Arabidopsis thaliana: one gene and its partner. The protein of the gene in region 2 interacts with the protein of the main gene of each other region in a biochemical or structural test. Each region holds a gene or a part of one and is shown on either strand. Other genes may lie near its edges.

What was found.
Region 1: of the proteins of KAT2 (region 2) and CPK13, one has a biochemical effect on the other in vitro, tested with the Arabidopsis thaliana proteins (one study listed by BioGRID).

What each region holds. Positions count from the first base shown.
Region 1 is NC_003074.8:19,230,391-19,236,482, reverse strand, and holds CPK13 (calcium-dependent protein kinase 13), read right to left. Parts: upstream 4,126-6,092; 5' UTR 3,817-4,125; coding exon 3,192-3,816; intron 2,983-3,191; coding exon 2,839-2,982; intron 2,685-2,838; coding exon 2,532-2,684; intron 2,387-2,531; coding exon 2,271-2,386; intron 2,181-2,270; coding exon 2,013-2,180; coding exon of another isoform or gene 1,968-2,012; exon of another isoform or gene 1,952-1,967; intron 1,818-1,951; coding exon 1,587-1,817; coding exon of another isoform or gene 1,503-1,586; exon of another isoform or gene 1,375-1,502; intron 1,107-1,374; coding exon 957-1,106; 3' UTR 592-956; downstream 1-591. UniProt on the Arabidopsis thaliana protein: May play a role in signal transduction pathways that involve calcium as a second messenger.
Region 2 is NC_003075.7:10,112,844-10,119,195, reverse strand, and holds KAT2 (potassium channel KAT1-like protein), read right to left. Parts: upstream 4,403-6,352; 5' UTR 3,812-4,402; coding exon 3,600-3,811; intron 3,503-3,599; coding exon 3,287-3,502; intron 3,193-3,286; coding exon 3,037-3,192; intron 2,938-3,036; coding exon 2,880-2,937; intron 2,791-2,879; coding exon 2,473-2,790; intron 2,350-2,472; coding exon 2,110-2,349; intron 2,012-2,109; coding exon 1,913-2,011; intron 1,822-1,912; coding exon 1,789-1,821; intron 1,698-1,788; coding exon 1,512-1,697; intron 1,410-1,511; coding exon 920-1,409; intron 838-919; coding exon 719-837; 3' UTR 544-718; downstream 1-543. Other genes in the region: AT4G18300 (Trimeric LpxA-like enzyme), read right to left, coding at 1-344. UniProt on the Arabidopsis thaliana protein: Highly selective inward-rectifying potassium channel. This voltage-dependent channel could mediate long-term potassium influx into guard cells leading to stomatal opening.

The sequences.
Region 1 (6,092 bases), on a different chromosome or scaffold from region 2:
TAGCGTAGTTTTGACCTCTAGAGCTGATAAAAAGGGACTTGAAGTTGTAGACAAAGGCCTTTATAATCAGAATATTATATTTCATAATTCATCGGCTCCATGTGTCACAACTCTTTACATACAGATTTGTGAATACTAAAATTGGAAAACTTGGATATCTTGGTATGATTAGTACAATCCTCTATCAGTTTACTTAGTATGAAATAGGTTTTGGATTTAGCATCTAAAATCTCAAATCTTGTTGAAAACGATTGGCACTAGCTAGGATGTTACTGGTAACCTTTTGACAAGAAAGCAAGTCCCTTTTGTGGTTAATTTGTTCCTATCAGATAAGTGATTGATCTCCAATAAAGAAAGGCTCATAAGAGTTGGTTAAGATTCTTGTATAACGTTGAGTGATTATTTGATTTGGTTTGCAGGTCAATAATGCAGGGATTGCTAGTGTAATCACTGATGTTGATACTCAGAGCTGAGATGGGAAAAAGTAGGTACTAGGTAGCTTTCGTGTTTGATTTGAAACAAGCGTCATTATATTACCGATTGATACAAAGTCATCATCGCTTAGAACTTTGCGCAAAATAGAGGATAGGGTTGTGTGAATGACTCATCATATCATTATAGAGGTTAAGGAAGACAAAAGAATATTACAACATCATTACCAGAAATGGTCTTTGGTTTTTTTTCCTTCTACACATCAAACACTGATTCTCATGTCTTTTGGATTTCTACCAGAACAAACTAAACAAACACAACTCAACCCATAAACCAATAAAAAAAAGAACACAGATAACATAATCACCAAAAATAGAAAGGTTAAAAAACGAAAGATGTACAAAAAGATATGAATTCTGAATCCCAAGTTTTACCTTCTCTTGGTTTAATACTTGACGTGCACGAGAACGTGGCGTGAGAGACAGACACTAAAGACCCTATTGCGGCTTCTTCACTTTGATTCGCTATTCGTTGCCTAGGTTCAAAGACCCGTCCTTCATTAGCTTGATGCTTAGGCTATTGAATCTCCCTCTTGAGTAATGACGAGACGCCTTTCTCCAATCCGTTCCTGTTTTCATCATTGCCGCAAACTCTTCGTAGCTTATTCTCCCATCCTAATGTCAAAAATCCATGTCAGGCACAACCAGAAGAAACATTTTTACACTAACTATAGTCTCTAAGGTTCTGTTTAACGATATGAGAAGTGAACTCTCTACAGATAGTATTTCCACTACAACAGAGAAATCATTTTTGCCTTTAGTTTATGGGGACCGCTTACACAACAGACAAATGCCAAAAGAATAAAACTGAAAAAAAGTGTTTAAAGCTACATGTTTTGTCCTCAGGCTTTTAAGAACTTTTTGCAAAGCATGTTTCCATTACCTATGTGTAAAACTGTAAATTCAAATGGTTTGGTTATCATCAAACAAATAGCGCAAAAAGAAAAAAGATTTAAAGTCACATCTCCTGTCCTTTGTGCCTTTTTAGGACTTCCTCACAACTTTGGTTTCCTAACACTCTTGCAAAAGAAAGCTCTTTTGAGTTTCTTTTGAACATGATGAGATCATACCATAGACAGAAGATTTGACACTTACCTTGTCTGTGTCAACTTCTTGGAATATATCATTGGCGACATCCACACAGTCATCTCCTCCATCTTCCTTTAAGGCGTCACAAAGCTCCTGGGGCAAAATGTACCCATTTCCATCCTTGTCAAAGTAAGAGAAGGCTTTGCGGAGATGCTCATCGTTTGCTACCTTTTGCAGGTGGAGAGACACTGCTACAAATTCTCCATAGTCTAGAGTTCCTTTTCCTTTAGTATCCACCTGTTTTATACAAATTTGAATTATCAAGACAATATTTTAGTGAACCTGGATAGTGAACGTGAACAAAAAAAGATCACTGAAAAATTAAGCGGGAAGTGAATGATAAGATCATGCAAAAAGAAGTTTGACTCTACTTCTTCAGTCAAGCAATCAGTAATAAATGTACGGTGATGTAGAAGGGAAAGATATGTGCACCGCTTCAATAAGCATCTGAACTTCTGATTCCGCTAGCTGTGTACTAAAATCACGAAGTCCGGCTTTCAACTCCTCAATGGAAACTATACCATCATTATCAGTATCCATCTTGTTGAACATTACTTTGATGTCTTCTACTTCTTCCGTAGATAAAAATTCGGCAATAACCTGGTTTGAATAAGATTAGTAAAGATATCTTCCGTTTAAGAAGTGACTCATGCAAGTAATTAAGAATGAGAGTTTATCAGATAAACAAACCCTTAAAGCTTTTCTCTTGAATCGGTTCATCACTGAAAATTGCTTCAACCTCGACTTCACAACATCTCCAAGAGGAACATTGGGAGCTTTCTTTGCGTTCTGAATCCATGGGTGCTCTAGCAAATGAGAAACAATAACAAAAGCAGGAATAAGCATAAAAAAAATCTTTTGGAGTATCTCCAGATCAGTGAAGTAATTGGGAAAAGAGATAATAACAGATGCAGAGAGAAAGAGCATAAGGCAAAGGTAGCTTCTATGTACCAAGCACTTGCTTTGCAGTCAGCCGACGCTTTGGATCAGGCTCTAACATTTGTCTGACTAGATTCTTAGCGGTCTCAGAAATGTTTGGCCACGGTTCCCTCTTAAAATCAATTACTCCACGCAGAATAGCCTGAGCAACTCCCTGTTCTGACTCTGTGGTTCAAAGAAAAAACTGGCTGAAACTACAATTTACAAAAGACTAGCATGCTAAGGTATTATAAGAATCCGGCAGAGGAATCGAAAAACTAGCAAATGCTCCGGCAGAGGAAATCGAAAGACTAGAGAAGAGAGGAAGGGGTTAACAGACCTGCCCAGAACGGAGGAACTCCACACAAGAGAATATAAAGAATCACTCCAGCACTCCAAATATCTATTTCGGGTCCATAATTCCGCTTAAGCACCTCAGGTGCCATGTAATATGGACTCCCAACAATCTCAGAGAATTTCTCACCTGGTCATATGTAAGCATTACAAAAACAGCATCAACACCAAATAAACTGGTCAAAATACATCAAAGGTATGTATCAATCAAGAAACATAAATCCTACAATAAACTAGAAGCTCCCTCTATGACCCAGTATTCCACTACAACAACACTAATAATCAACAATAAAAGCTAGAGAATTGAAATCTACTTTAAAATCAAAAGCAGTAACAGACCTGGCTTGAAGAAAATCGACAATCCAAAATCAATAGCTTTCAAAGGCGAGTTCTCCTTCTTATTAGCAAACAAAAAGTTCTCGGGCTTCAAATCTCTATGAATCACACCATGCTTATGACAAAGCTGCACAACCTCAACAATAGTCTTAGTAACACCAGCAGCAGCACGCTCCGTATAATGACCTCTCGCAACAATCCGATCGAAAAGCTCGCCACCTTCACAAAGCTCCATAACCAAATGCACAGCATTATCATCCTCACAAGCTTCTTTCAAAGTAACAATACTCGAACTCTTAGGCAAATGCTTCATAATCGCTACTTCTCTTTTAACATCTTCAATATCCACAGCAGTTCTAAGCTTCCTCTTGGAGATCGATTTGCAAGCGAGTAGGTCACGCGAGGACCTCTCGATACAGAGGTAAGTGACACCAAACTCGCCGCGGCCGAGTTCTCTGTCGAGTAAGTAACGGTCCTCGATGTTTTCCTTGGGAACATCGCTTAGAACTCGAATCGGCGCCGATTTTTTACCGCCGGCGGCGTCTTTGCGGGCGTGATCGTGGCCGGAATAGTTGGATTTCACGTCTTCTCTAGCAACTGCTGCGGGAGATCTGCAACAGTTTCCCATCACTGTGTGTAGCTCTGATGAGGGGTTTCAGAAGTAGAAAGTAATAGAGGTGAAAGTAGATAGATCTCTAGCTGAATTTGAGGTATCTAGGGTTCCACATTCTACGCTTTGGGAGGAATCGTGACAATGGAAGCTATAGCTAGAGAGAAGCGTAGATCGAAGAAGCGTACGGTGAAGATGAGAGTAGCGAGAGAGAGAGAGAGAGAGAGAAGAGAGGTCTCTTTTGAGTTTTTGATATTTATTTAATTTCTTTATTTTCTGTATTTTGTAAAACTCAATCATAATTTGGTCTCCTTGGTTTCTTTTTCTTTTTGAAAAATGGTCTTTACTTGTTTGGTAAATTTACACTTTATTGGATTTTATTTTAACATCTGTAAATTCCTTTAGATTCTAAGAAAAATATTTATTAAGGTACGTATATATGTTGACTAAACAATTTTCTTTTAGTAATTTTGATTGACAACAACACTATCTTTTGAATTCTTGATAAGACTGATCATTCAAAAAAAATCTAATTTTTTAAAAATAATCTGGATTGAATATATACATACTCCGGTAAAAATAATATTTTACCTTTAATTTGGAAATATTATGTGCATTACATATGTGATATGTGTGTAATCATCTAAAATACGATCACAAATTTTATACTTTGAAATATCTAAGATCCACCTGAACAACTATGACAATGAATAAAAATATGGTAATTGTACGTACAAAATAAAACAAATAATTTTTTGGTTCTAATATGCCATTTAAGATTTTGAAATGTCATGATAGAAACAACTAATGATAGAATAAAAATCTTGAAAATGTTACCATTTAAGATTTTGAAATGTCATGTGCTAATCTTTTTTGGTTCTAATATGCCATTTTTAGACTCATAATTCATAAAACAACAAGTTATTTCATAGAAAGAAAATACTAAAACGAACATTTCTAGTTTATTTTGTAAATCTAAGAACATAGATGCAGAATTTTTTCCCATTGTAAATCCAGTATTCATTTGATCAAAAATGAGCTGGCCATTTCAAAAAAGGTATGTAACATGCGAACGTAAGTGGTATGAGCCTAGGAGACTAGGAGGAGATTGAAAATTTGTGATGTTTCTAAACGATCGTGTGGTCAATGTCAACAATCATTTGTTTGGCCTTTGGGAAAGTCCTTTTTTTTTTTGTTATAAAGGATTTGCATTAGAATGGTACATTTATATATCTAAATTTAATTGATTTGAATTATACACTAATTACTTTCGAAATATCCACAAAGCTCTACGGTGTAAAATGTATCTTCCAATGTCGACATATCAAAGATAGTAGTATCATATCTTCTACTAGAGGTCTAGAGCCATCTACGTGTATTATGGTAGTTTAAATGGATGTGATCTGAGGATGTCCATCTATCTAAAATTGCGGAATTTACTTCATTTTTAGATAGGTTGGTTGCATCGAATAGTTCAAAATGATTTAATTTCTACAACTTTTTTAAAAATGATCATAGTTTTTCAAAATCAAAAGTCATCTGAGGCTTTTTGTCCCGCACACATGAATTTTTTTCTGGGTATCATATATGTCGTATCATGTAACACATAGGGCGGTAGATAAGACGAAGTCCAAAACGCGATGAAGAAACCTTTGGTTTAGCATGAGTAAAATCATAACGATAAAGATACAAACTTTTTTCATTCCCAAACCCTAAATAATGGTGCTTTTGAGAGAAAACCAATTTCTACTTACCATTTTTGGAAACCCATCAAGATGCGTAAATCTAGTTGCAACGTCCACCACATGTCTTATTTGGTGGAGCGTGGTTCACAAAAATGTTTGAAAGTTAACAAACGCGCGTCTAAATTATTATTATATACTATTCCAAAGACGCGTTCACATTTAACCCAATGTTAACCAACCAAATCTCAAGATGTGGAGATGCATTCACACATACAACAAGATATATATCTACTTAACTTATCTGAAATGCGTTCACATCACACGTATAGTAGTACCAAAGACTTGCCATGAATAAAGAAGATAAGATGTCTAGACAGATCAATTTGTAACCGTCATCATCTTCCATTTTTGCATGACGTCCAAAAGATCACTTGAACTTTTTTCATTTCGTGGTGAAGATTCCATTGGACAACGTGTGACTATATTTTTGGCTCATCACTTTTTTGTAGTGCGATCATCTACCATCTTGCAACATAGATTCTCTTATAATTGGCAAAATCCATTAAACCGATAACAAAATATCATAATGTCACACACACTAGTGATTCC
Region 2 (6,352 bases):
TCTCCAACACTGGTGGAATTGTGAGACACTATCGTTCTCACCAACAAGTTTGGGTTTGGGCGTGTGTACCATTCCGATTTCTTCAGGTAATCGATGATCTGCGACGAATGAGCACAACAGAACACAAAAACCTCTTCGATCCCAGCTGATTCGAGCCATGCTAAAGTGTAATCAATCATCGGGATGTTCACTATCGGCAATAGTACCTTTGGTCGTTCTAGGGTTATGGAACGGAATTGAGTGGTGAAGCTGTCGGCTAGAAGAATGGCTTGTAATCGTTGACGACTTAGATCCTCTGAATCCTCACGAACCTTAGCCGCCGCGGGTTTCTTCTGAGCACCCATATCTCCGATCAAATTCGATTGAAATGAAAAATTCACGACAGACTTCAAAATCAAATCCTCGCATGAGAAAATCTTTGATACAATTTTTTAAGGGGAAAAAATGTTTATTTTATAATTAACTAGGCCTAATCTCATTTATTAGTAATTAAACTCATCTAAGCCCAATAAGGCCCAATATATATAAACTCGAATGTAAACGTTTACGCGGGAAATGCTCTGTTAAATTCAGAATTCTGATGGATTAACATTGTCCAGTTATAAGTTCTCTAGGATCTTCTTTGATGATCAAATGTTTTTCTAGTAAAAAACATTACATTGCCTGCAGATATACATATACACTCTATGGAAAGAAAACAGTGGTTACTAAAGTCTTGTTAAGAGTTTTCATTGATGAGAATATACAAATGATCACCATCTCTAATCACATCTTCATCATCTATTTCTGCGTTTTCCGCATTCGTGACCTTTGTGAAGCTGTATCCAAATTTTTCACCTGCACCATAATTTTCTAGTTTACTTTACTTCCTTCTTATGTTCAGTAGTTTCTTAGAGAATTAACAAGTAAAAGAGCTTACCTGCAAGTCTTAGCAACTCTTCTATGGAAGCAGGAAGGATTATCAGCTTCGACAAATCTTTGTCCCGGGACTTCAAGTGGATGGTAACTCTTTTATCTTTTGGTTTTGCAGCTTCATGTTGTTTGATTTGGATGTTTGATCTGCAATATGGATATGCTTCCTGTGAATGAAATTCAAATGAGGTAAGATCTGCATCAGAGCAACCTTTTCCATCAAACTCTTTATTTGGTTTTTCTCCTTCTTCTATCTCTATCGTATGTTCTCGAACTCTTTTCGTTTCGCCATAACCAGATCTTCTTGAATCTCTCCATTCAGTTGACCCCATATCAATATTTTCTGAATCATGCAGTTGTAAATATTTGTGCCCATGTCCTTGATCACTAGCGTTTCCTTCTCCTGTCTTTGAACCACCAACAAGCCACTCCTTGAGAAGTGACTCTGGTTCTGAATTTGGATCATCAATTGCTATTGATTGTTGCCCTCTAAGTTTCTACATATATCATCATGAAATGAGTTCGTATTGATTAACATCATTGTGAAAACATCTCTGAAATAAAATTAGTTCCCAGGATGTTATATCATTCTTACTTACCATGAAGAGGTTGTTCATTATGACTCGTCCATCTTCGACATGAGCTCGCATAGCACTCATTAGAGATTTTTTGCTTATCCGTAGTATCTGAGATAGTTCTGTTGTCCTAACTGTGAAAGGTTGTGGTGTATAGCATAACACACCAATCTCTCCAAATGCATCGCCAACAACCGCCTTGCCTTGAACCTACATGAATGTGAGGATTACAGTCATTTCTCTTTTTTCAGCTAAGAGTTCTACAGTGAAGTTCTTTTGGTGATATATATTGTTCACATACCTGATCTTCTTCGCCAACGTAGACAGTAAAATCCTGCACAATCACCACATGAGCGAGTAAAACATGTTAGAAGGTAACTTCAACATTCCTATACAATTATTTATTTTAAATTTCATTCACTCACCACTGCCCCTGAGACTAGGATGTAGAGGTCAGTAGGAGCTTCGTTCTGTAGTATTACATCTTCTCTTGGTGGGAAATATTCGGCGTCTATATCTGAAACCTTGGTCAGAAAAAGCATATCGAGTTGGTTGGTAACTTTATGGAACATTATAACAGAAAGAGATGGACAAAGAAAGAGTTAACAAATGAGTGTTTTACCAACTGAAATAGGAAGTTGCGAGAAACTCCGTGAAATAGGTAGACGTTCTGAACGATTGGGAAGAAGAGATAGTTTGCAATGCTTGACCGGATTGCTTTCGGCAAACCATTTAAAGCTTCTTGTTGTTTCAGACCCTCTGTTTTAAACTTTAAGCAAATGTGTGATAACATTTGGTCTTGTATGTTTGGTGGGAGTTGGTTTCTTGATGCAAACTCTGAAGCAGCTCTTACAGTATCTCTCTGTTTAATTCAAAGAATCAGGTTTCTTATTAACCTATGAATATATATATATATATATTTTTTTTTGCAGGTTATAGTTATAAGAGATTGATGTGAAGTCGAAAGAAAAGTTATTGAACTTACAAAGTTTCTGGTGCGGCTAGTCCAGTGAACCACAAGGTTGGTCATATTTCCTATGAGGTAAGATGTGAAACCGAGGTTGAAGAGCATGAAAAACACAAAGAACAACATTTCTCTTGGGTTCTCAGCATGTAAGTCTCCATAACCTGTTGTTGTTAATGTCGTAATAGACCAGTAAAGAGCAGTAACATATCTACTCCATACGCTTGTCTCCTTGAAATTTGGGTAGACAGCTCCAATCCATGTTTTTGTTGGATCATGATATTGATCTGCAATGAGGTAGGCGAAGCATCCAGCACAATGTACTGCAAACAGTGTCACCTGATATATAAAAGTATACGTTGTAACTTGTAAGCTAGTAGCATTTATAGATGAAAAGAAATGAGAATTCCTCTGTTTTTGAGACTTACCGAAATGAGTTTTGTGCATCGTGTCCAGAAATAGTTGAAGCGGATATCTTTCTCAAGCCTGAAGCAGAGGAAAAATGAGAGAGTAAGCTTTATGTTGATTCTTCATATGGCAAGTCTTCTAAACTTGAAAGAAAATGGTTTAGTATTGAAAATGAACCTTGCAAACAGCGAGCTAACTCGTCTAAGACGCCAGAGCCTGAGCATACTAAGAACTCTGAATCCTATTTCACTTCCATTGTATTTGAACAGAAGACTCAGTGACTGGAATGGAGCTGTTGAGCAGACATCAAAGGCGAACCAAGTAGAAAGGTACCTAAGAACATACTCATTAATAAAAATGAGAAATGATGCTTCCCTTAAATACGTAAAAACCGTACCATTGTCTTTATTATGTACTTGTTGTTCACCTTATAGCTATTTTCTTAGGTTTGTCGACTAGAAGATATGAGTGGCTGTCTAGATAAGCAACGAAGAAGGTGAGAATGATGTCAATGGCAAAGAATCCATTGACAATGTTGTCAATGATGAAAAGTGCGTCTTTCTTGTAGGTGATGAAGGCAAACTCAAATGGACAAATCCAAGCTGAGTAAATCACAAGAATGACCAGCCACATCTCCCATCCCCTGAATTCAACATTAAGCCATAACTCAAGAAGACAACAAACACAAAAACAGAACAGAACAGAACGAGGAAAATGTGCAAGAAAGATATATACAACACCTGAAACGTGGATCGAAAGGAGAGATGATGTGTTTACGGAGCTTAGTTGATTGGTTTATTCTAGCTCCAAGAGATGGTAAGAGATCAGCAGAGAGGAAACTGCTATGTTTGAATGTATCCATATTGTATTCTTCGACGCAGAATCGTTTGAAGAAGTTTCTGGTACAAGAGATTGACATTGGTCTTGTGTTGAGGTGCTTTCTCTTCAACATAAGGTTAGTTATAAATATAGTGATGAAACTTGTGACAAGTTTCACAAGCTAACGAACTTTTTTTGCTTTCTTTCTCTCTCTCTCTCTCTCACGTTGTGGTTCTGACTTTTACAACATCAACTTGCCCTGACCCATTTCTTATCGTTTTCTAAAAAAGGAGAAGGGAAAAAAACGAATTTTTGTTTTTGGCTTTGCAGGGGAAGGTTTTAACTGTTTTGCACAAACTTTAGTGCACCATTAATGCTGCAAAAACCCACAAAGAAGGCTTACACAAGAAAATGATTAAGAAGGTGAAATAAGAATCGAGTTTCACGTTTGGTAAGATGTATAATTAAGTGGCAGACATTGAGATTTTACAGAGTTTCTGCTTCTGATAGGAAGTAAAGATTTGAAATATAGAGAGAGGAAGAAGAAGAAAGACGGAATGTGGTAATGGACTTGATGAGATTGTGACTGTGGTGGGATATCCATTTACTTAGCATTTGAGGCTAATATATATATATGCATCCACACAATGACACAAATGTGTGATTTAATGGCAAAATTTAGGTGTTTTTGTTACAGGAATCTAGAAATGGACCAAGTAAGGGGAAAAAAGAAAAGATGGTCAGAATAGAATTTTGTAAGGGCCAAAAGGGAGAAAGATACAAGTAAATATTCCACTATTCGTTAAGTAGATCAAATACTTTACAATAATTTGAAAAACACTGCTTAATTGAATTCTCTTTTGGTAAAACTAAAATGTTGAGCGGTTTAACAAAGATGTTAGCTACAAGAAAACCAATTCTCAGATTCTTTACCTGGACAGCTAATATGTAATGATGACACGTGGACCAATATAGGTTTCCAGTTCCACATTTGTTGTTTCTTGTTTTTGATTCAGGTTAGTTTTTTATTTATATATAATGATTATTATTAACTTTTAGTGTCTTGATTTACGTTTTGTTTGATATTTTTTGTGCCATTGTGTGTTTTACCTGGAAAACTTATATAGACCGTTCGTTGATTTTAATTTAGAAAGATTAATCCTTAATTACGCGTAAACATCTAATCAGCGAATTGACACACCAAAAAAACATCCAATCAGAGAATCTGTCACGACATGGAAAGAACAAAAAAAATACTAATTAGATAGTTAAAGCAGACAAACAAATTCTGTTTCACACTATAAATTATAATGGAAACTGATTGAAGTAGTACTAGTAACAATCAAAACGTACATGATGTTATAGTCTATAATTTCGGTGATAATGTTTTCTCAATTAGGGAAATTTTCTTAAATAAGATTATATCGAAAAGTATTATTACGTATGATGTTTGTCTATATTTTTCTCTTCTTCTTTTTTTTATAAAAAATTTACAAAATAAAAATAAAATCAGAATACTACTTACATTCTGTTAAAAACTACCATGTTCTATTTTTTCCTTAATTCATAATGCTTTTTCATAGAAATATCCTTAATAAATTTAAAATTTCACTAGAGACAAATTTTGCCTGCAGATCTTTTTAGATGGTTTAACTAACATTTGGAATATTTAAGAAAAGAAGACGTAACAAATTAAAAAAATCGAACTGATTTTAATTCTCTTCGCTTGCCATTCTTTCTGTGGAAGTAGCACATTATCTAAATTTCTATTAATCTGAACTATAACCACCACTCGGTTTATGAGTTTGTTTGTGGCATGCTGCTAGTTAGCCTCTGTCTCTAATTCTCTATGGCTTATCTTTCTCTTTTCATGTTGTAAGTTTTCACTTTCTTGAAGTTATTGTACCAACCTCTTGGTTGAAGATCTTGTAAACTTTGATCCTTTGGAGATAAAATAAATGAAATACAAGAATGTTTGCAAACAAAAAAACCCACCACTCGGTCTAAGAATCGGTTAAATATGATGAAAAAGCAACAAAAATCGGTTAAATCTTGCACATGCAAAAAGAGACATTGGGTCCAAATGATTCAATATTTTTTGTCGTTATTTTTCAATGGGGGAAACACAGTTTTCGACTTAGAAGTCGCAACCCATATTATAGGTGACATGCATTTGTGACTATTTGACTGAGAGAACACTAAACCGATATTTTGCAAATGTTTGATTTTGATTTCTAATATAAAAATAATAACGTTGGTTAATTTATGGTGGTCTTATACTAGACAACAGATCTGGACGTGTAAGTGATTAGTCAATGTTTAATTTTTAAAATCAATTTACTTTCAAATTTTATAGGAGTAAAAAGAGAAGAGGATTCACTTTGCGTTTTCGTTTTGGTCTTTTACTTATATTGTTTTATCATGATACAATCGCTGTAATCAGAGTTAGTGTAACTGTAGCACCCATATATAGATTCGTTGAAGTAGTTAGTCTGACCTTTTAGCTTTATTGCCTTATCATGAGAAATATTTGTACGTAATCATAATTAGAGTAAGTATCCCCTATTCACCTATATATAGGTTTAGCGATCGAATCTACCGGGTTTATTCTCTTTGTTCTGTCATCATGATTCATCCCATTTAAGAACGAAATTGAATTATCTGGTTAACGTAG